3 linked regions of the Notamacropus eugenii genome follow. The protein of the gene in region 2 purifies or fractionates together with the protein of the main gene of each other region. This does not show direct contact. Links are inferred from orthologs where the notes say so. Each region holds a gene or a part of one and is shown on either strand. Other genes may lie near its edges.

What was found.
Region 1: the proteins of CPSF3 (region 2) and UBE3D purify together in Homo sapiens (affinity purification with mass spectrometry; 4 studies listed by BioGRID and IntAct, counting the BioPlex papers as one, with this or other methods). This does not show direct contact. The link is inferred for Notamacropus eugenii from reciprocal best matches to the Homo sapiens genes CPSF3 and UBE3D.
Region 3: the proteins of CPSF3 (region 2) and FIP1L1 purify together in Homo sapiens (affinity purification with mass spectrometry; 5 studies listed by BioGRID and IntAct, with this or other methods). This does not show direct contact. The link is inferred for Notamacropus eugenii from reciprocal best matches to the Homo sapiens genes CPSF3 and FIP1L1.

The regions. Positions count from the first base shown.
Region 1 is NC_092873.1:155,792,827-155,800,919, forward strand, and holds the start of UBE3D (E3 ubiquitin-protein ligase E3D), read right to left. Parts: upstream 3,016-8,093; 5' UTR 2,765-3,015; coding exon 2,709-2,764; intron 2,558-2,708; exon of another isoform or gene 2,524-2,557; intron 2,504-2,523; exon of another isoform or gene 2,186-2,503; intron 1-2,185. UniProt on the Homo sapiens protein: E3 ubiquitin-protein ligase which accepts ubiquitin from specific E2 ubiquitin-conjugating enzymes, and transfers it to substrates, generally promoting their degradation by the proteasome.
Region 2 is NC_092872.1:549,754,422-549,761,599, forward strand, and holds the start of CPSF3 (cleavage and polyadenylation specificity factor subunit 3), read right to left. Parts: upstream 3,075-7,178; 5' UTR 2,826-3,074; coding exon 2,776-2,825; intron 2,190-2,775; exon of another isoform or gene 2,055-2,189; intron 1,968-2,054; exon of another isoform or gene 1,851-1,967; intron 1,055-1,850; coding exon 991-1,054; intron 93-990; coding exon 1-92. UniProt on the Homo sapiens protein: Component of the cleavage and polyadenylation specificity factor (CPSF) complex that plays a key role in pre-mRNA 3'-end formation, recognizing the AAUAAA signal sequence and interacting with poly(A) polymerase and other factors to bring about cleavage and poly(A) addition.
Region 3 is NC_092877.1:104,813,719-104,821,471, reverse strand, and holds the start of FIP1L1 (pre-mRNA 3'-end-processing factor FIP1), read right to left. Parts: upstream 3,041-7,753; 5' UTR 2,748-3,040; coding exon 2,663-2,747; intron 1,550-2,662; coding exon 1,510-1,549; intron 1-1,509.

The sequences.
Region 1 (8,093 bases), on a different chromosome or scaffold from region 2:
TTTGATCCAACTATAAAGTCTCTCTTCCAACGAGGTGTCCCCTCTATATATACATACACAGTCCCAGTTTCATTCAAGATTCCTTAATGAGATGATACAATAGGAAAATCTATACGAACCTACTATGGTCTAGCACTTGAGAAACAAAGAGAATGAATAAAAAGTCTCTACTTGAAAAAGGCATTACTTTCTAATGGGGACCACAAATACATATATAAGTATATATAGAGAATAAATATAAAAAGAATCAATACAAAGTAGTTTGCTAAGAATAAGCAGTCAGGGGAGCAGGAAAAATTTCACATAGAAAAGGTGGTATCTAAGTTGAATCTTGAAGAAAGAAAGGAATCATATGAGGCAGAAGTCAGGCCTGGTGAGCATTCCAGGCACAGAGGGTAGCCAGTGAAAAGGCACAGACATGAGAAATAGCACATCATATCAGAGGATCAGAGAGAAAATTGGCTTGACTGAGTCATAGAGTACAGGACGGAGAAGAACATACGGGTCTGGAAAGATTGATTGAAGCTAGATTTTAAAAGCTAAACAGAAGAATTCATACTTTATCCTAGAAGCAATAGGAAATGACTGCAGTTAATTAAGTAAAGGTCCTTCAAAGAGTATAAGATAAAAGGTGATCGATTCCCTAGGGACAGTGAGTCTCCAGATATCAAACACTGAAGACCATCCTAAGAGATCCATAAGAACTCCAAAGAATTTGGCTTAACATCCACACAAGAAAAGCCAAGTGCCTATATTATAACATACAAGTGAAAAGATAACTTGTAAAGCTTACATGCATGTATATTTATACATGCACATGTATAATATGTATATGTATGCATATACGTATGAGAAATATGTAGGCACATATAGATCTGTATCTATGCAGTAGTATAAGTATGGATGTAGATATAAATATCAATGTGGATTATGCATCAATATATATGGATGGGATCAAAGTACCAATGGATAAGTTAAGCCCAGAATTAAACACAAAAGCAAGTCAAATTGCCTTCAGAAAATTACAAAACTCCTTTAATGATAGTTAACTATCACTGGATACAGTACATGAAATACAACTCTAAATAAATGAAAATAAATATCATAAAGAGGGCAACGAAAAGGCTTACGGTGGGTGTGATCAGGGGACAGCAGTCAATAAAAGGAAACTTAAAAAACAGAAGCAAAGGATGTTACCAGAGAAATATATATCTGAAAGATGGATTTGTCACATAGAGAATCTAAGAGAAAATTGATGAACAGCATGTATGTACAACAGCATCCTCACCATGTCAAGAGAAAACAAGGAAAGTACCTCTTTTCTTGCAAAGAAAACCTGGGCAGCTAGGTGGAACAGAGGAGGAAGCTCTGGGCCTGGAGTCAGGAAGACTCATCTTCCTGAGTTCTCAGATACACATACTAGCTATGTGACCCTGGGCAAGTCACTTAACCCTGTCTGCCTCAGTTTCCTCTTCTGTAAAATGAGCTGGAGAAGGAAATGACAAATCACTCCAGTATCTTTGCCAAGAAAACCCCAAATGGGATCATGGACACAGCTGAACAACAAATAAAACTTGTGCTTTCTTTCTTATTCAATTTGAAAAGGTAATGGAAAAATAGTGTACAGTTAATTTAAGAAGGCTGTCAAAATGACCACTGTAGTGGAAAGAATGCTGAATTTGGAGTCAGGAGACTTAGAGTATGTATCTTACTACCAGTGAAGCCTAGGGAAAATCACTTCCTGTGCCTCGACCCGTTTCCTCATCTACAAAATGGGAGGATCAAACAAGAAGAGGTAAGGTCTGCTTTGTTTCTATTAAGTGAGATTTGCCTTGGGACTGGATAGGTAACAAGGGTGAGGAGCACCAAAGGTGAAGAGGATACAGACACACCCTGAGACACTCATGCCACTCCTATTCAAAGGGCAATTTGGAAAAGCACCCACGGGTTAACTAGGTTAGTAAGGACTCAAACAGGTCAATAAAACACTGGCTTGGCACAGGATAGTTCTCAGATAAACTCCACTTTTTTTTAACAAAAATAAGTCATCTCTTCACAGAGCAAGTGACATGAGCAAATCAGAATAATCATAGGATTATAATAATTATTATAATTATAAAAATAACCATCAGTTTGTTTGGAAATATTCTAGAGATCGCCCAGAAAAAACAACAATGTATCACACCAGAGTTAACCTCAAAGGAGAATCGCGGACTAGGTCTAACGAAGAGGGCGGGGCTCAGGGTTGGTTAATTTCAGATAAAGAGAAGAGAAAGGGAAGGAAGGGGAGGGCGGAGGGAGAGACAAGGTGGCCAGGCCCTCGGAGTCTCCCCTAGCCGGAATGACGTCAGAAACAACTGCTCCCCGGCGCGTGCGCCTTCAGCAGGGTAGGCTCGCGCCTAAGCCTCCAGAGGCGTCAGCGAGTTGAACGTGCCAGGCTCTCCGGAGCTAGTACACAGTCTGTTGGCTCATCAGCCACGCGTCAGGTGTACCCCGCTCCCCAGCTAGGCATTTTACGCACACCTGCAGCCTTCTCCTGCCCAGTCACGTCTGCATCCTGGGGAAGAAGTGGGATGCGCTGGCTGGGGCCCGGGGCGCAAATCCGTGGACAGTCCACCCCGCCCCACCCCTCGCTCGGGCCCCCAGCCCTTTCCCTTGCCCAGCCAGCCGTTACAAAGTTAGGGACGGAGAGGTGGGTAGCTTTATACCGGATAATCAGCAGTGCGTTCTGCAGCCGCTTCCTAATCTCCAGGAACATATCCATGGCCAGCGCTCCCTGGCCTCTCTTCCCGCCAGGCAGTGACCTGGGGGAGGGGGAGTGTTGGGAAGGAGGTAGGGATACGGTAACTCACGCTGCCGCAGCTCAAGAGAAGCGCCGCCCGCCCCCACCGCCGGAGGAGGAGGAGGAGGAGGAGCAGGAGGAGGAGCAGGAGGAGGAGGAGGAGGAGCAGGAGGAGGAGCAGGAGGAGCAGGAGGAGGAGGAGGAGGAGCAGGAGGAGGAGGAGGAGGAGGAGCAGGAGGAGGAGCAGGAGGAGCAGGAGGAGGAGGAGGAGGAGGAGCAGGAGGAGGAGCAGGAGGAGGAGGAGGAGGAGCAGGAGGAGGAGCAGGAGCAGCGCACCGGGCGCTCAGCCCCATCCGGAGCAGCCTCTGGCACCGCTGGCCACCGCTGGCCACCGCTGCTCCCTGCAGCCCGGTCTGAGGACTCGCTAGCTTGGGGAGGAGAGCAGGGGCGAGGAGAGTGCGTGTCCAGGGGGCCAGGCGGGGCTGTGAACACCGAGGGGTTGAAGGAGTGAGCAGAGTGAGTGTGGGGGCTTCGTTCGTCTGACAGCATAGGTGACTCCTATTCGGAGTGGGCGAGACGTCTCATCCAAACTCTTCATTTCACAGATGGAAGAAACTGAGGCAGCCTGACACGGTGCATAGGGCTATAGATTTAAAGTCAGTCAAAAAACATTTATTTATCGCTGCTAGGGAGGCATCGTGGTAAGCCCCGCGGACACCTAGAAAGGCAAAAACGAGACATCCCGCTTTGGACTAAGCAGGTCCTTTAGTTTCAGTTTCTTCATCTGTAAAATTAATTATTTGGTGGCCTCTTCCAGTTCTAAATCTGTGATCCTATGAGGCCCAGAAAAGGATTTTGAGTGGGATCAAATAGCAGACAAGTTGCAGGATTCATGTATGTTTTCTCCCCGGGAAAAAATTACTATTTGGTTAATAATAGCTCATTTAATATGAAACGTTGTGGTTGATGATTTCCAGTAAGCAAGAGAAGTATTCTTATCCCCATTTTACAGATAAAGAAACTGAAGTTTCCAAGACGTAAAATGACTTGCCCAAGGTTATAATATCAGTAAAGGATCTGAACCAGGACTTCAGCCTTCAAGTTCAATCACTCCTTTCACTATTTTACACTATCTCTCACTGATTTGGTGACCACAGGGGTTGCCTATTTTAACCCCCTTATTTGACAGATGCACAGAGGCCCCATAGACATCAAGAGACTTTTCACACACACAACTAATGCATAGGTTACAAAAGTGGGTGATATCACCCCCTGAGGGGCACTGGAATAATAGGGGGAGCAGTAGTAGACTCCAGTGCAATTGGGGCGGGGGGGGGGGGGGGGGGCTTTGAATAAAAAATTGAAAAAAAATTTGAGGAAGTGGAAACATAAAGAAAGAAGAAAATTTTGAAAAACCATTTGTACGTTTCATATGTTTCATCTGTTGTGTAATAGTTAAAGTCGTAGTGATTACATTATTTTCCAAATAAATACACAAAATGCAAGTTATAACGGATCAGTGATAAAGACAGGTCTTAATAATCAAGTGCTGGCAGACCAGAAGTCCAGCATGCATTGGCAAGAACACGTGCATGGAATGATTTGTTTACAATACAATACTATGCTGGCAATACTGCATCATCAAAACTTCAAAACTTCAATGCAGGAAGAAATCACAAATTTACAATAATTATTAAATTTAAGATGCATCATTTCAAAAAAAATTTATATTTTTTGAAATGATGCAAATTTCCAAAAGAAAAAATCTGTTGAAGGGTTAAAGAAAGTATATTTCCAAGGAAGCACGGAGTGATTTTTTTTGAAAAGGGGAAAGTAAGCCAAATAAGTTTGGGAACTTCTGAATTAGGGGCAGGGCTAGGATTTAAACTGCAGGCTTCCTTACTGTTGGACAAAGCACTTAACTTTCAGAGGCACCAAGGATAAGAAGAGAAGCAGCTGAATAGGAAAAAAAAAGTATCAAATTTGTTATTCAATGAAACTAAAAGTTATTCACCATTAAATAAATGGTAAAAGATATATACAATTCTCAAAAGAAAAATTCCATACTATTAACAAATGTATTAAAGTGTTCCAAATCACAAATAATATGACAGATAACAAATCAAAATAACTCTGATGTTTCACAATCACACCCTGCAAGCTTGCAAAGACAACAAAAGAAAGGAAGAATCTATGTTGCAGGGGTTGTACACACTAGTGCATTGTGTCAACCTCCAGAGTTCAGTCTAAGAAAGACAAACAGAATTAGGTTATATGTATGTTTATTTCTCTTGAGCTGGCAGGCATACATGTGGAACTGCAGTTCAACCTGAACTTTGGGATTAGGCTACACAGATTATAAAGCCATGAAGCAAGGAAGTGCCCCTGAATAAGGTTTCCAATAAGCAAGACAGTGCCTCTTACTCAGGATGCCTGTACAACCTTAATCTAGTCTTGTGGTTGCTGAAACAGCAGGAGGATTTTTGGGTTCACTCATAGAACATCACAAAGGATTATTGAATTATTGGTATGTCAGTTCAGAAGGGCTCAAATTGTCTTCTCTGATTGGCCAGTCCAGGTTTTCAGCCTTCTTTGGGTGAAGAGGGGCTCAAGTGGGTCTCACAATTATTAGAGCTGTGATCATCACAACAAATTTTTGAAAGCAATTTGGAATTAAACAAATAAAGTGACGAAAAGTGCATACCCTTTACCCAGAGATTTCAGTATTAGGTTTATACCCCAAAAAGGCTATTGATAGTGAAGAAAGTATAGTAACACTTTGGGGGACAGCACAAACTTGGAAATACTGTCCATTGATTAGGAAATGGCTAAATTTTCTAAGGCTTCAATTTCTTCATCTTTCAAATGAAGAACTGGATTAGATAACCACTAAGATCATGAAGAGGTATTGTAATACAGTAGAATGAGCTTTAGACCAGGCATCTAGACTAGGACCACCTCCAGTCATCTTGATCTATATCTTGTCATGGGACACAAAGGGGTCCAGAGGAGAGAGTGAGGCTGGTGACTGTAAAAGCAATGACCCTGGCATACACAGGAGAGCCTACTATCACAGGTTCTTAGATCTGCATTTGTAAAAGGAGAGCAGCTTTTGAGGGATCAACAATCACTTTAATCAAGCACATGTATCATTCACTTAGTTCAGGGGAAAAAGTCAGCACCCTGAACTTCAGAGAAAATACAAAGAAATAATAATCAACAGATATGGCTTCCAACTGTCTGACATAAGCAATACAGCTTTAGCAGATGCGCAAAATCTCATCTGGCCAAACCAATACTTCCAGTCAATAAGGAAGTAAACCCTCACCTCAGAGTCTTTATACACTTTTTAGAGGCAGAGGGCATCACAACCCTTGAGAACCAGTGCCTCATTAACAAAAGGTGTGGCTTTCCTACAAATCTCCCCAGGCCTATTAATGGGTGGGGAAGATCTTCTTGAATCACATTACCAATCAGAGGCACTTGATCCTACTAAAACCAAAAAGGTATTTACCATGATTTTGCACAGCCCTCCCTCACTTAAATCCAATTTACTTGCAAGTCATGGCATCATCTTCCTGATATGATTGGTCCTCTTCCAGAACGAAGGACAGACAAAGACTAGGAGTAGAAAATAGCCTTTGAATACTACCTCCAACTCATAAAAGTCATGGAACTTCTGTAGGTCCTCTGTTTCTTCATCTGAAAAATGAGAATAATTTCTGTAGTACTTTCAGGGCCATGTGGTACTCAAATGAGTACTAATCTGTTTTGAAAACCATTAAAAATGTTACCTATTATTATCTCATAACTCTGGCAATCAGTGATTCCCCTAATGGTGCCCCTTGTACTCCATCATCCTATGGACAAAATCTTTGACAGATGGTCATCTAACCTCTACCCAAGTGTTTCCATTGATAGGGACTCCATTTAAAGAGGGAACTCAGCACAGTTTTTCTCCCCATTACCCACTAGCTATGCTGATTTTGGACTTCTCTGAAACTCCCATAGTGCTATCACAGGTAACTTCCCCCTCCTCTGGCTTTTCAGCTTCCTTTGGTGAGCTGTCTTTCCTTTCCTCCACCGTTCCCCATTAATGTGTAGACTCTTTGAGGGCATAGATTGTCTTTCTTTCATTTGTATTAGTTGCTCCATCAGTTACCACTGGATGCCTGACACTTACTATAATAAATGCATATTGACTACTGACAGGAAGATCACTGCACATTTCATTTTGGAATCAAAACCTATTTTGGTATTCATTAGGGTATATATGTCAAGAACTTCAGTCATTTTTCGTTTGTCTTTTAAGGAGTGGTTAAGACAGATAAAGGACAAAATACCAAAGCCCCATGGCTCAAGTTAAGAGAAAAAATGAATGAAGTAGAAAGAATAAAGAGCAAGTGACTAGCACAGATATGCTAAGAATGGAATGTTAACCTGAAATAAAGAAAACTGCAAAAACAGAAAAACCAGGGTCTTCTAATGGAGGCAAGGGAATTGCAATCCAGGGCCACCCGGCAGAATGGGTAGAGGTGGGGCAGGGTTAAATACACTTCAATAGGCAGGAAGTCCCATTGAAGGCACAGCCTGGAGAAGCAGTTTGAGAGGCTTGGTAGTGGTGCTCTTTTCTTTTTTTTTAATGGTTTCTATACTTCTCTTTTTCGAAGGGAATTGTGATTATCATATTAATCGATATGACATATCTAAATAATGATATGATAGATATATCTAAATAATAATTTAGATTTTTTCAGAGCTGTGTCTCCAGGTTTTCAAGTCAGAAGCTTACAATGCAGCTTGAAATGATTAATCAAATTCTTGACAATGCTCTCACAATCACTGCATTCTTTTACTTATGTACTTTAAATGACCCAAATCAAAGATTGTAGAACCTGTTCCTGTTGAAGAACTCTGGTCCTGTGCCCCACCAAATAATGACCCCTGGAGAGTTGAAACAATACTGTTCCCACAGGACTCCAGATCACCTGTATTGTGGACTTGTGGGCTTGTCATGGGAAATCATTCAAGCCTTGGAAATGATTGTTTGTAATCCACCTTCTCCTCCCCCTTCCCACTTGTGATTTATGTATAAAATCTCTGCCTTCACTACAGTATGGTGGAATTATGATTAGGAGAATTCCCAGTTTGCAAATCTGTTCCTTACAATGAAGCTAATTCATTAAATCGCTAAGTGATTACTGGCACTTTGTCTCTGGCCTGCTCTGTTTCATCATTCCCAGGTTAGAGACTGACTCAGTAAAACACTGTTAACCCTTTTAACTGAGTTCAATTTCCCTCAGGCAATTTG
Region 2 (7,178 bases):
ATTAAGAGGAGATCAATCTCAGCAGGATCTATCAAATCGATGTACGGAAGGGCATCCATTCCTTCTAAGCCAGGATGAATTCCACAATCCAACTGTGAAAGAATTGGGAAAAAATTCATTAAAATATCTTTGAATAATATATAGTACAAATGTGTCTATGGAAAAAAATGTTTAAGTTGACATTAATTTGTCATGTTTAATATGGACAAAATATAATGGTGACAGATTCTACTCATCTATTTAATACTGACTTCTTAAAATAAATGCAAAGCTAGCTGTTTGTAAGACATTTATGATGACAGAGTGAAAAAATGTAAGTACTCAAGTAAGCACTAAGAAACTAAGTAACTTGTTCGTGGTGACACAGGAAGTATCAAAGGTGGACCCTGAACCTACTCTTCCCAAATGTCTCATTAACAGAATAGCAAATGAACCCTTCCAAAGAATCTGAGGATAATTTGGTAAAAATTTTCTTCATGGACATTAGACATCAGTCTGAATTTCTGATCTTTCGTCAATGAGGATCTACCCATAACCCATTAAAAAAACCAGTTAAGTCTACAATGTTTCTCTTGGAGGTGAGGCAGAATAAAGGAGCTAAGGCTTTGTTTCATGCATTCAGGTTAGACACTAACTTTGTATAATCTACCAACTTCTCTTGGTTGGAGAGGAAGGTTGGCTTAGTCACACTGTCTATCTTTTAATGTATTTTTTCACCAAATGTCTAGAATCCTGTTTGGAACCTTTGCACATAATTCCAACCCACAGAAGCAGAACTGACAACCTCTTTAGAATTTATTATAAAAAAGATAATTGGTTGGCAGATCTAGGTAAACATAATTTATTGCATTTATGAGTAGGATATTCCCAAAATTATGTTAATGCTTTTACAAAAAATAAAAATGACTGTTTTACATATTAACAGATTTATACTACATATGTGTATGTATATATATGTATATACACATATGTATACTTTACAATGATTACCATTATTTTTCTTCCTTTGAACTCCAGAATAATACATGATCTTCCTACTTCTTGTCCAGCCCCACTGTAAAAAAAATAACAAGAAACAAACATAAACATCTGTGCAAATGTATTAAGGCAAAATGTTAAAAGCAGCACAAAACTACACTAATAAATCAAACTATGCTTTCTCTCTGGGTTTCAGTTTCCTCATCTGCAAAAAACGAGGCAGGATTAGCTAACCTCTTTGGTCATTTCCAGCTCCAAAACTGTGAGTCTAAGAATGTGACTTCTCCACTTCTCTAAACTTCAACTCCTTGCCTTCAGTCTCAAAATATAATGAAGCCTTCCTTTATTCCAATACTAATCCCTCCACTTTTGCTGTTTAGATCATCAGTTCTAGCCTTCTTACACCTAACACTCAGTCCACTCCTAGCACCAGATATCCTTTGATCCAGTGACACTGTAATACTTTCTGTTCCTTGAACAAAACACACTAGACTTGGAATTTTCACTAGCTGTTCTTCATGCAAGGAAATGCTCTCCCTCTTTATCTCTGCTTCCAAGTACCAGATAAAATCTCACTTACAGGAAGCCTTTTCATCCTACCTTTTCCCTTCTTTATGTTTTTTCTGCACATCTGAAACTGACTGCCATCAAAATGCGCCTGCTGAAATCTCTCCCTTTCTTTAAGGCCAAATTTGGGTGTCACCAACCTATAATAATATCTGGCATTTATATAGGCCTATAGGGTTTGCAAATATTATCTTATTCTCATAACACTGTGAGGTAGCTGGTGCTATTGTCATCCACATTTTAGAGATGAGGAAACTGAGGCAGAAAGAAATTAAATGAAATGCTCAGGGTCACACAGCTATTACCTGAGTGATGCTACATTTTAACTCAGGTTTTCCTGGTGCGTTACTTTCCTCCTTCCACCTGGACGAGATTTCACCTTCCTCCGATTTCTTCTAGTACTCTGTCTGGATATTTCCTTCCTACATGGCATATTTTACCTAGCATCAGACTTATGTATAGATGCATGATTTCTCTAATTATAATCCAACTTCCCTACGGGCAGAGCCAGTCTAGCACCGTGCCTCACACATACCAGATCACAAACAATTGCCTTCTGTTTACATGTCTCTGGGGAAGGCAAGGACTCCTAACGAAAGACAAGGTACTCAATACCGAACAGAAACTTAACCAGCACTTGTCAGGTAATAATTGCTCGGATGTTTACAGTTCTTTCCGTATAAATTCTTCCTCTGGATTCTCAAAAAGAAACCGACCCTGTGAGAGGCGCGGAGTCAGAACCCCTCGCCTTCACGTGGAAGGAAACTCCAGCTCGGCCAACTCGGCGGGGGGGGGGGGGAGGTCTTTGGCCACCATGTCTTTTAGTCCCCGGTTCACTCGTGGATCACACAAGGCAAACCCTCCTGCCCGCAGGGGAGACAGGACAGAGAGGCCCTCAGAGCTCAGTCGGACGAGGGGTGGGGATGACAATGAACACAAAGGGATCTTGCGGCGCAGAGCCACGCAAAATAGTGTCAAGGCAAGTTTGAGGGAAAAGGCCCTGCCACCAGCGGTGGCCACGGAAGGGATCAGGGAGGGATTCCTGAGCAAAGTGGCTTTTAAGGAAGTGGTAGAGATCCGCAGGTGAATGAGGCCGAGCCCACAGGCGCGGGCAGAGTGTGGGGCTGGGAGGCCCCGCCTCAGGAGCCCCCGCGGCCTTCCCCGAGGCCTCCCCCGCCCCCCTCCCCGGGCTCGGCTGCGCGCAGCTTCTCCCTCCCCAGGGCTCCTTACAGAGGTCGGATCAGTAGCTGGTCGCTCTCCTCGGCCGGGATGGCCGACATCTCTGGGGGCAGGGAAAGGGATGAGGAGAGAGGGGGCCCGACGAGCCGCGACCACCACCACAAAGCGGCGACAGCGCAAAAACGCCCACCCCCGCTGCTCCCACGGCACTGCGACCACCACTTCCGGCGTCGCCGGTCTCGGCGCGAAGACGCTCAGGACTTTACTTCCGGTGCGGGCCAGACCCACGAGGTTTGGCTGCTTCCTTTCAAGCCGGGCAACGCGCGGGGCGGGGCTGGGAAAGGAGTTCTGCGCCTGCGCGGTGGGGATGGTGACGGAGTCGGGGGAGGGGTGAGATGAGAGGAAGGAAGGAAAGGGAAAGAAAAAAAAGCGGAGTGGGAGTGGCTGCCTCCGGCTTCTGGACTGAGACGGAAAACAGTTCCATCCCGGAGCCTCCACCCTTAGCGGTGGCCGTAGGTGAGGACCCTCTCCCCATTCCTCCCCGTTGCGCTGTTCTCTCTCTGTTTCTCCGTTGCACCTCGGCGCGGGCCTTCGGTTTCCCGCCTCCAGCGCCGCAGCCACACGCCAGCCTCCGTCGGCTTGGAATCGTGATTCCGAAGCTGGTCTCCGCGTGGGGGAGGGTTAGGTAGGCCTCTGGTTGCTATAGCGACCAGGAACAAAGGTGGGGAGCGATGGAGGGATGAGGAGAGGGGGGCGAAGGAGAATTGGTACCGCCCTCTTCCGTGGATCTGGGCGGTGGCCGCCGGACTCCGAGCCGGGAGAGACCTCCCGAGAGCCGGCCCGCCCCGCCCTCTCATTTTTACAGAGAAGGAAACTGAGGCTCTTGGGGAGAAAGCCCCCCCCCCCCGTGTTAAGTAGCCGAGCTGGCACTGGAACCTAGGAGCCGCGTGTCTTCCCTGATCCTCAGGGCCTCCGTGGCTGGGGCTCAGGGTGAGAAGGGGGTGCCCGAGGGTTCTGTGTGCTGGGGGGGGCGGTGAGAACCTGGAGGAAACGCTAATGATCACTGCTAGGGCCTTCTCGGGGATGTGAGGGCCCGCCGGGGGGAGGGGCCGTACACCCTCGGGTCCGCCGCCCAGCCTGCACGGACCGAGCGTGCCCGCCGGCCGTCCTTGCCCTCCCCCGGCTCGAGGAGGCCACGCAGGGCGTCCGCATCCACCCCGAATGTGGTGGTGGCGTCAGGGGCTCAGGCGTCTTCCCCGCTGCGTTCTGTTTCTCTTTTAAATCGTGTGCGTTGAAAGGTACCTTGGTGTGTCAGACGGAGACAGCTGTTGTGTAAGTTGTCCGCTTCGGACTTGGGCTCTTCTCCGGTGGAAGGCAAGCCAGGCTGAAGGGAAGAGGGTTCGTGAAGATGGTAGAATACGGCACCAGATTCACCCACAATTTAAAATAAGGCCTCCAAGTGAACTTTGAGAGTCAGAAAAAAATTGAACGGGCCATGAAGGAGCTTTGTAAGAATAAAGCATCATGACCAGATGGATTTACAAGTGAATTCTACCAAACATTTAAACATCAAATAATTCAAGTATTAAATGAGCTATTTGGAATAACAGAGGAGTCCTAGCAAACTCCTTTTAGGAAACTAATATGGTGCCAATATCTAAACCAAGAAGAGCTAAAACAGAAAAAGAAAATTGTAGATCAATTTCTTTAATGAATATGAATGCAAAAATTCTAAATAAAATATTAGCCAGGGGATTACAACAACATATCACAAAGATTATACATGATGCTAGGTTGTGAAAGACCGGACCTAATCATTTGTCTCTTTCTTAGAACAAATCCTGGTGTTGGGTTTTGGGGTGTACAGGAAGAAGGGGCTGAGGAAGGCTATGAGTATCCAAGAAAATGATTATTTAAAAAATTTTCACAGGAGTAGGGGAAGAGACTTTGTTTTACAACGTGTCCTATAACTGTGTCTATGAAGGTACTATTCTGTAGCCTTCTCTGTATAGCTTTGTTTCTTTGCCGAGGATTTGTGTTTACCCTATTCTTAGTGACTTCCTTGCAGCTATGATCTCTGGATAAACATCACTTGACCTATCATTCCGAATTGTTTTGTTGGATTGTGCACTTTTATCATGTTTTCCTTCGTAGTCTGCTGTTGGAATCTCATAGGGTAGATTCTCCAGATTCATTTCGGTGTTTCAAGAGTCTCTGGTTCCTGGTTATGGGGAACAAAGGGGAGGGGTATCTGAGTGAGACAAAAGCCAGGAGCACATCTTCCCTACCTCTCAGTTAGCTTATTTAATTTCCCTTCTTTATTTTTAACCGAGCTAAAAGTCATCACCAGCACTACCTTCCCCTGAGGGCATATTTCCTAATTCTTGCCCCAAACTGGTTTGTTGTAATGGCCAGTGGGGTCTGCCTAGGTACACACCACCTCTAATCTTATTACATAATAGTTGTGTAACTTTGGGACAAATCATTTCATTTCTCTTGGCCTTAATTTCTTCCTTTGTCAAATGAGAGGATTGAACTAAACAATTTCTAAGATCCCTTTCGTTTCTATTTTTTTTAAATTTCCTTTCTCTCCCCAATGGGGTGGACCCATGGTAAAGAGAAAAAGTAGATTTGTGTTCATCTAAAAAAAGGAGGATGATTCAGAAGTGAAATGTTACATGTACTTTCAAATGTCATTGTATCATTGGTTTTACTTAACTGTTTTACCATGTTCTGAGAGACTTCTCATGACGTGAGAGTAAATTGTAAATATATGTAATATAAACACAAAGTACATCAAAAAGTCCAAAAGTGACCCCCCCCAAAATCCCATGAATCTAATTACTACTATTAAAGAAAAACTCTTTAAAAAAATAAAATTTTATTGATATATTTTGTTTTTATGTAACCCACATCCACCAGTTATATGCATCTCCTTTGCCCTCCCTCAATAGAAGTGTTAAAAAAAAAAAAACTGTACATGGTGACCAAATGGGATTTGTACTGGGAATGTAGGGATAGTTTAACATAAGGAAAACTATTAATATAATTGATTATGTCAATAACAAAAGTGACAAAAAGAATATAATTATATCTGTATTTGCTGAAAAAGCTTTTGACAAAATGCCACACTCATTCCTATTGAAAACACTTGAAAGCATAGGTATAAGTGGATTTTTTCCTTAAAATGGTAAGAAGTATTACCTAAAACCATCAGTAAGCATCATTTTTAATCTGGGTAAGCTAAAAGCCTTCTCAGTAAGATCAGGAGTGAAACAACGATGCCCATTATCACCAGTATTATTCAGTATTATATTAGAAATGCTAGTAAAGAGCATTTAGAGGAATAAAAGAAGTTGAAGGAATCAGAATGAGCAATGAAATAAAGCTGTTTTTAAAGATGAAAGGATGATATACTTGGAAAATCCTAGCAATTCAATTAAAAAGTTAGTTGGAATAATTATTGATTTTAGCAAAGTAGCAAGATTTAAAATAAACCCACGTACATCATCAGAATTTCTTTATATCATCAACAAAAAGTGCAAGAATAGATACCCCACTTAAAGAAATTGTAGACAGTACAAAACACCTGGGAGTATATCTACCAAGAAAAACCCCAAAAGTACATGAGCAAAAGCATAAAACAGTTTTTATACAAATAAAGTCAGATTTAAATGATTGGAAAAATATTAATTGCTCCTGGGTGGACAGAGCCAGTATAATAAACATGACAATCCTACCCAAATTAATCTACTTATGCAATGCCATTTCAATTAAATTACCAGAAAATTATTGTGTTGAGCTGTAAAAAATAATAAAATTCATTGGGAAGAACAAAAATTCAAGAATATCAAAGAATTAATAAAAGAAAAACATGGAGGAGGCTTAATGATACCTGATCTGAAACTGTGTAATAAACTATATAGTAAAGCAATAAATCAGAACTGTCCTGTACTAGGAAAAGTGGATGAGTGCAACAGAGCAGACATGCAGTACTCAGTGAATGATCAAAGTAACCTTGCGTTTTGACAAATGCAAAGATTTAAACTTTTAGAATAAGTATTCACTATTTGGTAAAAATTGTTGAGAAAACTAGAAAGCAGTCTGTCAAAAATTAGGTGCAGACAAATATCTTCTGACATTTACCAAGATAAGGTCTAAAATGCATACAAGACCCTGATATAAAAGGAGATGTCATAAGAAAATTAGAACAGGGAACATAATGCCTGTAAGACTTATAGAAAGAAGAATTATGAACAAGAGATAGCATTTTGATAATGTGAATTGAATAGTTTTATTTTGTTACATTTAAAAGGTTTTGTACAAATAAAATCATTGTAACCAAGATTAGAAGGAAAGCAGAAAATTGGGGGAAAATTTCTATAGGCAGTTTATCAGGTAAAGACCTCATCTCAAATATATAGAGAACTTTATCAAATTTATAAGATTGTGAG
Region 3 (7,753 bases), on a different chromosome or scaffold from region 2:
ATTTCAGTCTTTCAGGTTCATGAATGAACAATGATCACCTTTATCAAATAGTATAATTAGGTTTACAAACTTAGCAGCACTAATCTAATGTTAACAAAGGACTGTACCTCAGGAGTCCTTTCTCAAAATATGATTACTGCAATAATAAGCAAAGATTGAAAACAATTTAGTCTAGATTAATCAGAACTGATATGGGTAGTCTTTAACTTAAGAATGGGTTGCCTTTTATAAGCTTATAAAAAAAGCTGGAATACATTTTCCCATAGAAATTGAAAACTAATAAGATTCCAAATTTTGCTCCCAAAAATCTACTTAACTCAAAATGTAGGCAAACTTTGATATTAAAAAATATTAAGGAGTCCACTTTTATGTAGTGATTTTTGGTTTATAAGTACTTTTTCCAAAAAAATCTCTGTAAAGTTGGAAGAACAAGTATAAATACCTTCATTCTACAGAAAAGGAAACCAAAGCTTCAGGAAGGTTAAATGTCTTGCCCAAGGTAACAGAACTACAAGTGTAGGACACTTTTCAACCAAGGTCTTCCAACTCGGATATCTTGCTCTTTCTACTATAAAGTTTTAACATGGCAGTCTAGGAAGGCGTTTAAGTAGTAAAGGCATTACATGAACCAGTCTCCTAAATCTTCTCAGTGGTCTGTCTCTTCTGTATCCAGAAATTCTCTATAAGCTGAAATTCTTTCACACTGATCTATGGACTTAGTGGAGAAGAGGCAGGGCAGCATATAGATGGCAATTTGTTTATATAGGATGATGGTAAACTGAATTTTTATAGACTGGAGATTTCTTGTATATTAATTCAATAAAAGGTAGCCACACATTCACCCAAGCACATCAAACAAACATATACTCTACTAATAAAGCATTAAGCCATTTAAACAAATTGGGAAGGGGTAATTTTCCTGGCCACTGTATTATTACTATACTAGTTAGAACTTTAGAAAAGCCTAAGGAATGTATAAACTCAGAAAATTCCCCATTTGGCACATAGTTTTACTGAATCACTGTAAGGTAGTAAATAGTAAAAAAGAAAAACAAAAAAAATGTGAAAATAACAAAAATACCATGTCCTAAGTTTTTAGCATCAGAAGCAGCATGGCACAAGGCACATAAGCTGACCGAGCAGTGAAGGTAACTTAAAACATACTGGTTGTGTGACTTCGGAGCTCATTTAATCTCTCATTACTCTAGGAAACTCTAAGACTACAGGTTGCAGAGAAGATAGGAGCTTGTGTTGGCAGAAGGGGTTTCCTCACACAAAAGTTCTCAATATCCACGAAATCATAGGTTCAGTCTCTATCCCCAAGCACCTGACAGAAACTAGAAAATTCTTCTCTCTATTTTAGAAGCAGGTCCTTAAAACCTTAATCAACTACAGATTTCAGCTTAACCTTGATCATCACATATAAAGTCCAAATTCCTAACTATAAACAATGGTAAGACTGGCACCACTACATAATCAGTACCGCTATCAATCGGGAATTTCACTAACCTGGCATTTTCTTCTTCTGGCCTTTCAACTTCATTTTCATCTGTCAAGAAAAAAACATAAATGAATTGTCAACGAATCTTTAAAACTGGAAGCACAAATACTAACCCAATCTTTCAAAATTCACCCTGTATGTCACAGACAGCTGTTTCTTTTTTACAAATATCTAAAAATCTGCGGCTTTTAGATTTTTCAAAAATAGAAAATTTGACCTTATTTTTATATTTTAAGTTAAGTTTCTCAGGCGTTGGAGTCTCAAAATCTCATTTAAAATTTATTTAATGCTATTGATATTGTTCCTGGCACACAGTCTAATTTTGGTCTCATTAAATGGATGCTTGGTACAGCCTGGTATCATCTTATTAACTATGCAATTCCAAGGCCGTGACCGTGTCCGGAAGTCACTCGGACATGTCAAACATCCGTCTGCCTGATCCAGGCCAACAGCATCCAAGACAAGGTTAGACTCTCAGAAAATCAGCAGGCGAAACGTGACTACAGGAAACGTAAACTAAGGGATAAGCTGAGGTGTCTGGAGGACACGTCAGTAGGAGGCGGGAGGCCAAGCCCACGCACCCCACAAACACTTATTGAGTAGCTTGTAACTCCGCGCGTGGGGCTCGTGAGTTCCTCGGGTGATGCGCTCAGGTTGTCTGGCTACATCCAGGGCTAATGGAAAAAGACCAACAACAAGCAAGTCGGGCTCTTCGCGGGCCCTGAGCCACCTGGTCCGTCTGCGACGGACGTGCCAACAAGTCCCCCGGCTTGCCGCCACTTGTTTTATTTCTGGTGGACTTTCTAGCATCACCACGGCCGGGGAGAACACGGCCCGAAGGGGCCCGGAGCCCAGCTCCGGCGGCCGCGGCGCTCAGGGGCTCGCACCCCAGGGGGCGGGCAGGCCGCGGCCGGGTCCGGAGCTAGGAGCCGGGGCCCCGGGGAGGCGCGGGTTGCGGGTGCAGAAGGAGGAGCTCCCGAAGGGTTTACGCGCGCGGCGCTCGGGCCTAGCGTCCCGGCCGGGGCAGGGAGGCCCAAGGCCCGGGGTCCGAGGCGCAAGCACGCCCGCCGCCCCCCGCTACCGCGGGACGCGGAAAGAAGAGGCCTGGAGCAAACCGGCGGAGGGGGGGGAGGGGAAAAGGAGCGACCCCGAGTTGCGTACCGCCATAGAGCCACTCTTCCTCCTCATCCCCACCGGTCCCGCCGCTCAGCTCCGACACCAGCCGCTCCACCTCCCCGGCCGACATGGCCGTCCGGGCTACGACTGGGAACAAATGCCGGGACCACCAGCCGGGCCTTCCCCCCGAGCTTCGCTTCCGATGGGGGAGTGTGAGGGCGCGGGACTGGGAACCGCACAGGAGCGGACCGAGGCGGCGATCACGATGACGAGCCCCCCTCCCCAAGCACAGGTTCGCTCGCGCACGCGCAGCCCGAACTCAGCGGCGCGACGCGAGGCCAGCCCAGCCAGGTACGCGTGCGCCTGCGTGCGCGCTTGCGCGAACGCGAGACAAGCGCCTGCCCCTCCCCCGCACGCTAGGAGAGGGTGGAGCTTCCTCCAGCACGATTTCCTGCCTCTCTGGGCATCCTTCCTCTCCTTCAGAACCCTCTCCCATTTTCACAGTCCTGACAGCTTCAGACTTCTCTGGCTTAGGTGTGCTTCCGCCCTGCATGCGTACTTTCCTCAGGTCCGCGGTTTTCTTTTTTCCTCCGTGTTTTTTTCCGCTCCATCTTCAGAAAAACGTCCTGTGTTAGAAAGGATACGGAATTAGCGCTGCGCCGGGCGCGGTGACCCCTTGGCTTTGGGGCACACAGCGATCCGGTTTGAGTTCAGTGAACGGTGCTAGACTTTTTGAGGAGGAGCCGCCCCCTGGAAAGGTCTTCCTGCTCCTTGTCGAAGGAAGTCAGGCTTTCTTCTGCGTGCCCATGGACAGGGGCACATCGTAGCGTCAAAATTGCTTTAAAATAATTTTGTAAAAGGAAGTTCTCATACTTTTTGTTGTGGAGCCCTTCTGTCTTCCTATACTAGCCCCTTTCCCAATTACCTGCCTGGATTATTTATAGGTATTCAAATCAAGTCAACGAGCCAAGACACTTCCAAAAGACTCAAGATGAAAAGTGTGATACGCCTACAGAGAGAACTGAAGAATTCTGACTGCCCAGTGAAGCGTGTTTTTTCTTTTTTTAATTTATTTTTTCACTTTATTTTTCCTGCTTTTTTTTTAAGGTGGCTAATGTGGAAATATGTTTTGCATGACTTCACAAGTATATATAATTGATATTGCTTGTGGGGGAAGGGCAAGAGGGATAGAATTTAAAACTCAAAATTTTTTTAAAAGGATGTTAAATTTTCAAATATACAGAAAAATAAAAGAAGTGCTTGTTTTAAGATTGTGTTGGCCCCTGGCCTACCTTCCAATTATCTCAAATGCTTCCCTGTTAAGAGAGATGTGTTGTTGTGTTCATCCTTTCTTTTCAAAGAAGACCATGCTGTCAGAGAAATTGACATGACTTGAAATTGACTTTGTTTTGAGTGAGGGAGGGCAGGTCACCAGCCTCACTTCTCCTCCAGAGCCATCTGGATCCAGTGACCAGATAGTCCTCAGGATGAGTGGAGATGGCCTAGGATTCAATGGGAGACCTTGGTCTTTTGCCTTTTCAGGTACTCACCTGGAGGGAGGTAATGCCCATTCAGTGAATAGGCCTCTTTCAGAAAGTAGTCAGGGAATGGCCCCTTTAATGAGCAAAAGAAAACAGAACAGTCAAGTTAGGAGGAAAAAAGAAATTGGTACTGTTGATAATCACTCTAAGCCAGCTATGTAGTGGAGCTTGGGCAGGGACCTATTGAACAGAAAGAAAAAGAGAGAGGAGAGAGAGAGAGGGGAAGGAAGGAAGGTAGGAAGGAAGAAAGACATGTAATCAGTAAACCTCAAGTTAACTGGACAGTCTATGGCCATCCAAATTTACCTTCCTTTGGAGAGAAGAAGGAAGGGGAGAGGGAGAAAGAAGAGGATAAGCTGAGTTACCCAGCTAGGTGGCTCTCCACTCAGGCAGCTCAGTCCACTTGAAGGTTGTGTTCGTCCTTCATTTTCGAAGACCATGACATTAGAGAAATGATGACATGACTTGAACTTGGCTTAGTTTTGAGTGAGGGAGGACTGTGCAAGGTCACTTCTCCTCCTGAGCCATCTGGATCCAGTGCTAGATATCACACACACACACACACACACACACACACACACACACACACACGTATGTTTGGGGGGGTGGGGAAGAGAGAGAGAGAGACTGCTTTTTTGTTATTATTTAAGACTGGCCTTTAAATTGTTTTTAACTTCAGTCCAAAATATTCATCAAGATCCCCAAGAGATCATAAAAATGGGAAAGGGTCCCACATGTACAAAAATATTTATAGTAGCACTCTTTGTAGTTGCCAAAAACTGGAAGTCAAGGGGATGTCCATCAATTGGGGAATGGCTGAATAAATTATGGTATATGAATGTAATGGAGTACTATTGTGCCATAAGAAATGATGAACAAGAAGACTTCAGAGAGGCCTGGAAGGACTTATATGACCTGATGCTGAGTGAAAGGAGCAAAACCAGGAGAACTTTGTGCACAGCAACGACCACAGTGTGTGAGAGTTTTTTCTGGTAGACTTGAAATTTCGTAATAACGCAAGAACTTCTTAAAAAAAAAAAAATCCCAATGGTGGTTCTCAAGGCAAAATGCCTTCCACACTCAGAGAAAGAAATATGGAAGTCATTCGCAAAATGTAGCAGATCATGTTTGTGTATGTGTATGTTTTTGTGTATCATGTTTTGATTTGTTATATGATTTCTTACATTTATTTTAGTCTGACTACATAGCATGACTATAGTGAAAATATACTCAATAGGAAAGTATATGTAGAACCTATACAGAATTATATGCAGTCATGGGGAGGGAGGGGGGTAGTGGGGGGGTAGGTGTGGGGGGGATAAAATCTCAATTGTATGGCAGTGATTGTTAAACATTAAAAAATAAAAAAAAATTAAAAAAATATTCATCAAGGAGTTAAGTAGAATGTAACATCATAGGAGATATATAAGAATCTTGAATAGCAAAAAGTGTTCTGCCTCAGTGATCATGTTGAGAAGTGTCAAAAATTGCCATGAGATTGAGTATTAAAAGGAGGAATATGTTTCCTCTTGGAGATGTCTAGTCCTTCTCCTCTAACCCCCAATACCTGCATCCCTACCTGTAACAAAACATGAATGACTGTAAGAGTTATTGTCCAAAATATATACTAGTAAGTTTGTCATCCACAAAATTCAGAATATAGTTAAAAACCAAAACAAACACTCTGTGATATAAGTAGGCATGGCAATTTTTCAGAAGAAGTCATGCTCTATGAACAAATTTCATTTTGAGGACCCTTCTGAATGTTTACATTTAGAGCTCCTTATTTTCTCTACATTAGAATGCTCTCATAACTTCCACTTCTTCTTTGAATGGCGACTTTCTTCATTTCCGCTCACAGGACACTGGGATGTGTATGTAAATCTGGTTCTATCAAGAGTCCAATTCCAATATTTCCTACAATTCCCAATATTTTCTCAATGTAACTATGAAAATTAATCCTGTGCAGGCAATGAATTGACTAACATAGAGAAGAATAAATGTAAGCTTTTCCTAGTTCTGTTTGTTCCAATACTCCTTCATAAGCACCATGAAAATCTGTTTAAAATTCTACTTGAGTACATGTAGGCTTTCCTTTCCTTATCTTTAGAATTTGCATTTTAATAATTCATTTTATCCATTTCCAACCTAGTTCTCTTAAAATGTTTTATCAAGTCCCCAGAATAGCTCTCAGTTAAATGACAGACTGATTAAGTCAGTTTTGTAAACAAGAAAATTGAGAATCAGAAAGGTTAAATTTATTTACCAAGATTCAGACAACCATTTAGAGGTGGAAGTCATAGACAATCTAGATTTTCCCTAGTCTTTATATTTGAGTTTATCCCAGTCTTGGCCCTTAAGCCATAAGCTCTTGAAAAGGCAAGGAACTGTGTCTTCTATTTAATTTGTAGCTTCCTACAATGCCTCAGAAAACGCAGTGAAGTATTTTATTCAATCACAAAAAACAATAATTATTGAGGACCTACTACATGCAAGGAAGTTTGTAGATTTAGTGACAGTGGTCAAGGTCTCAAACAAGAATCCCTGACCCTTTCCGGAAACTTAATTGGTGTATAGGATTTGACTGATATGTTCAGTTGGGTTATCCAGATTTACATATGTAAGTTTTAATGTTGATTTCTAAGTGGAAAATATTTCACTCAATCTCCTAATGGGGTGATGGCAAACTGCTAACGTTCATAAAGCACCTATAAGATAATCAGAGTGCTATAGATAAGTAAAGCAGAGAGTCTGCCCTCTAGGTAACTAGGGCCTTGTAGGAGGGTTGTTTGTTAGGAAAGATAGAGGAAACAAATAATTGTAACATAATAAAGATATACGATTTTTCATGTTATATACAAACTATGCGTGAAGGCAAAGAACTGTGCCTGTGTTCACATGCTTTTGTGTCTTTATGTATATATGCAATTAAATATTGTGTTTTGTTGAACTTTTAAGTATTATTCCTTGGGACAATGTGAGTTTTCTGCCAGGATAGCAAATCCCTTTATGAGTAGAATTTTGTTTTATTTATTATTTTACATCTTCTTGTTTAGTCCTACCATGGCACATCATTATGATGTGATAACCTAGAGGTAACCCTAATTTTTCTAAAAGCTGTACTAGTATAATATAGATAGATCCCTCAAACATAAGCCATTCTGTTGCTTGGAGATTGAGTTGGAGAGGAGTTCTGCACAGATTTAGTCACCAAATAATGAAGTGTGCTTGGTTTTTTTTCAGGCATATTTTTTTTCATGTATTCTATGGCATTAAAGGTATTGTAGTCAGAACTAATGGAGGGAATTATGAAATTTTGAAGTAATAAAACATTAATTTTAGGGACATCCCTCACCCTCAAAATGTCACTGGACAGTTTCACTTAGGTCTTACAGAGCACCAATGTACAATAGGAATTGGAATGGACCTTGATTTGGAAAAGAAAAAATAAGAGAATTTTTAAGTGCATGGGTGAATGACATCTTTTTTGGATGATTTCCATCACTTTTCTTACTGATTCTTATGTTTTCATGACTGAATCCTCTCACAGCTGCTCTTCTCCAATGTATCTAGCTGTAAGCCCATGAAATGAGGA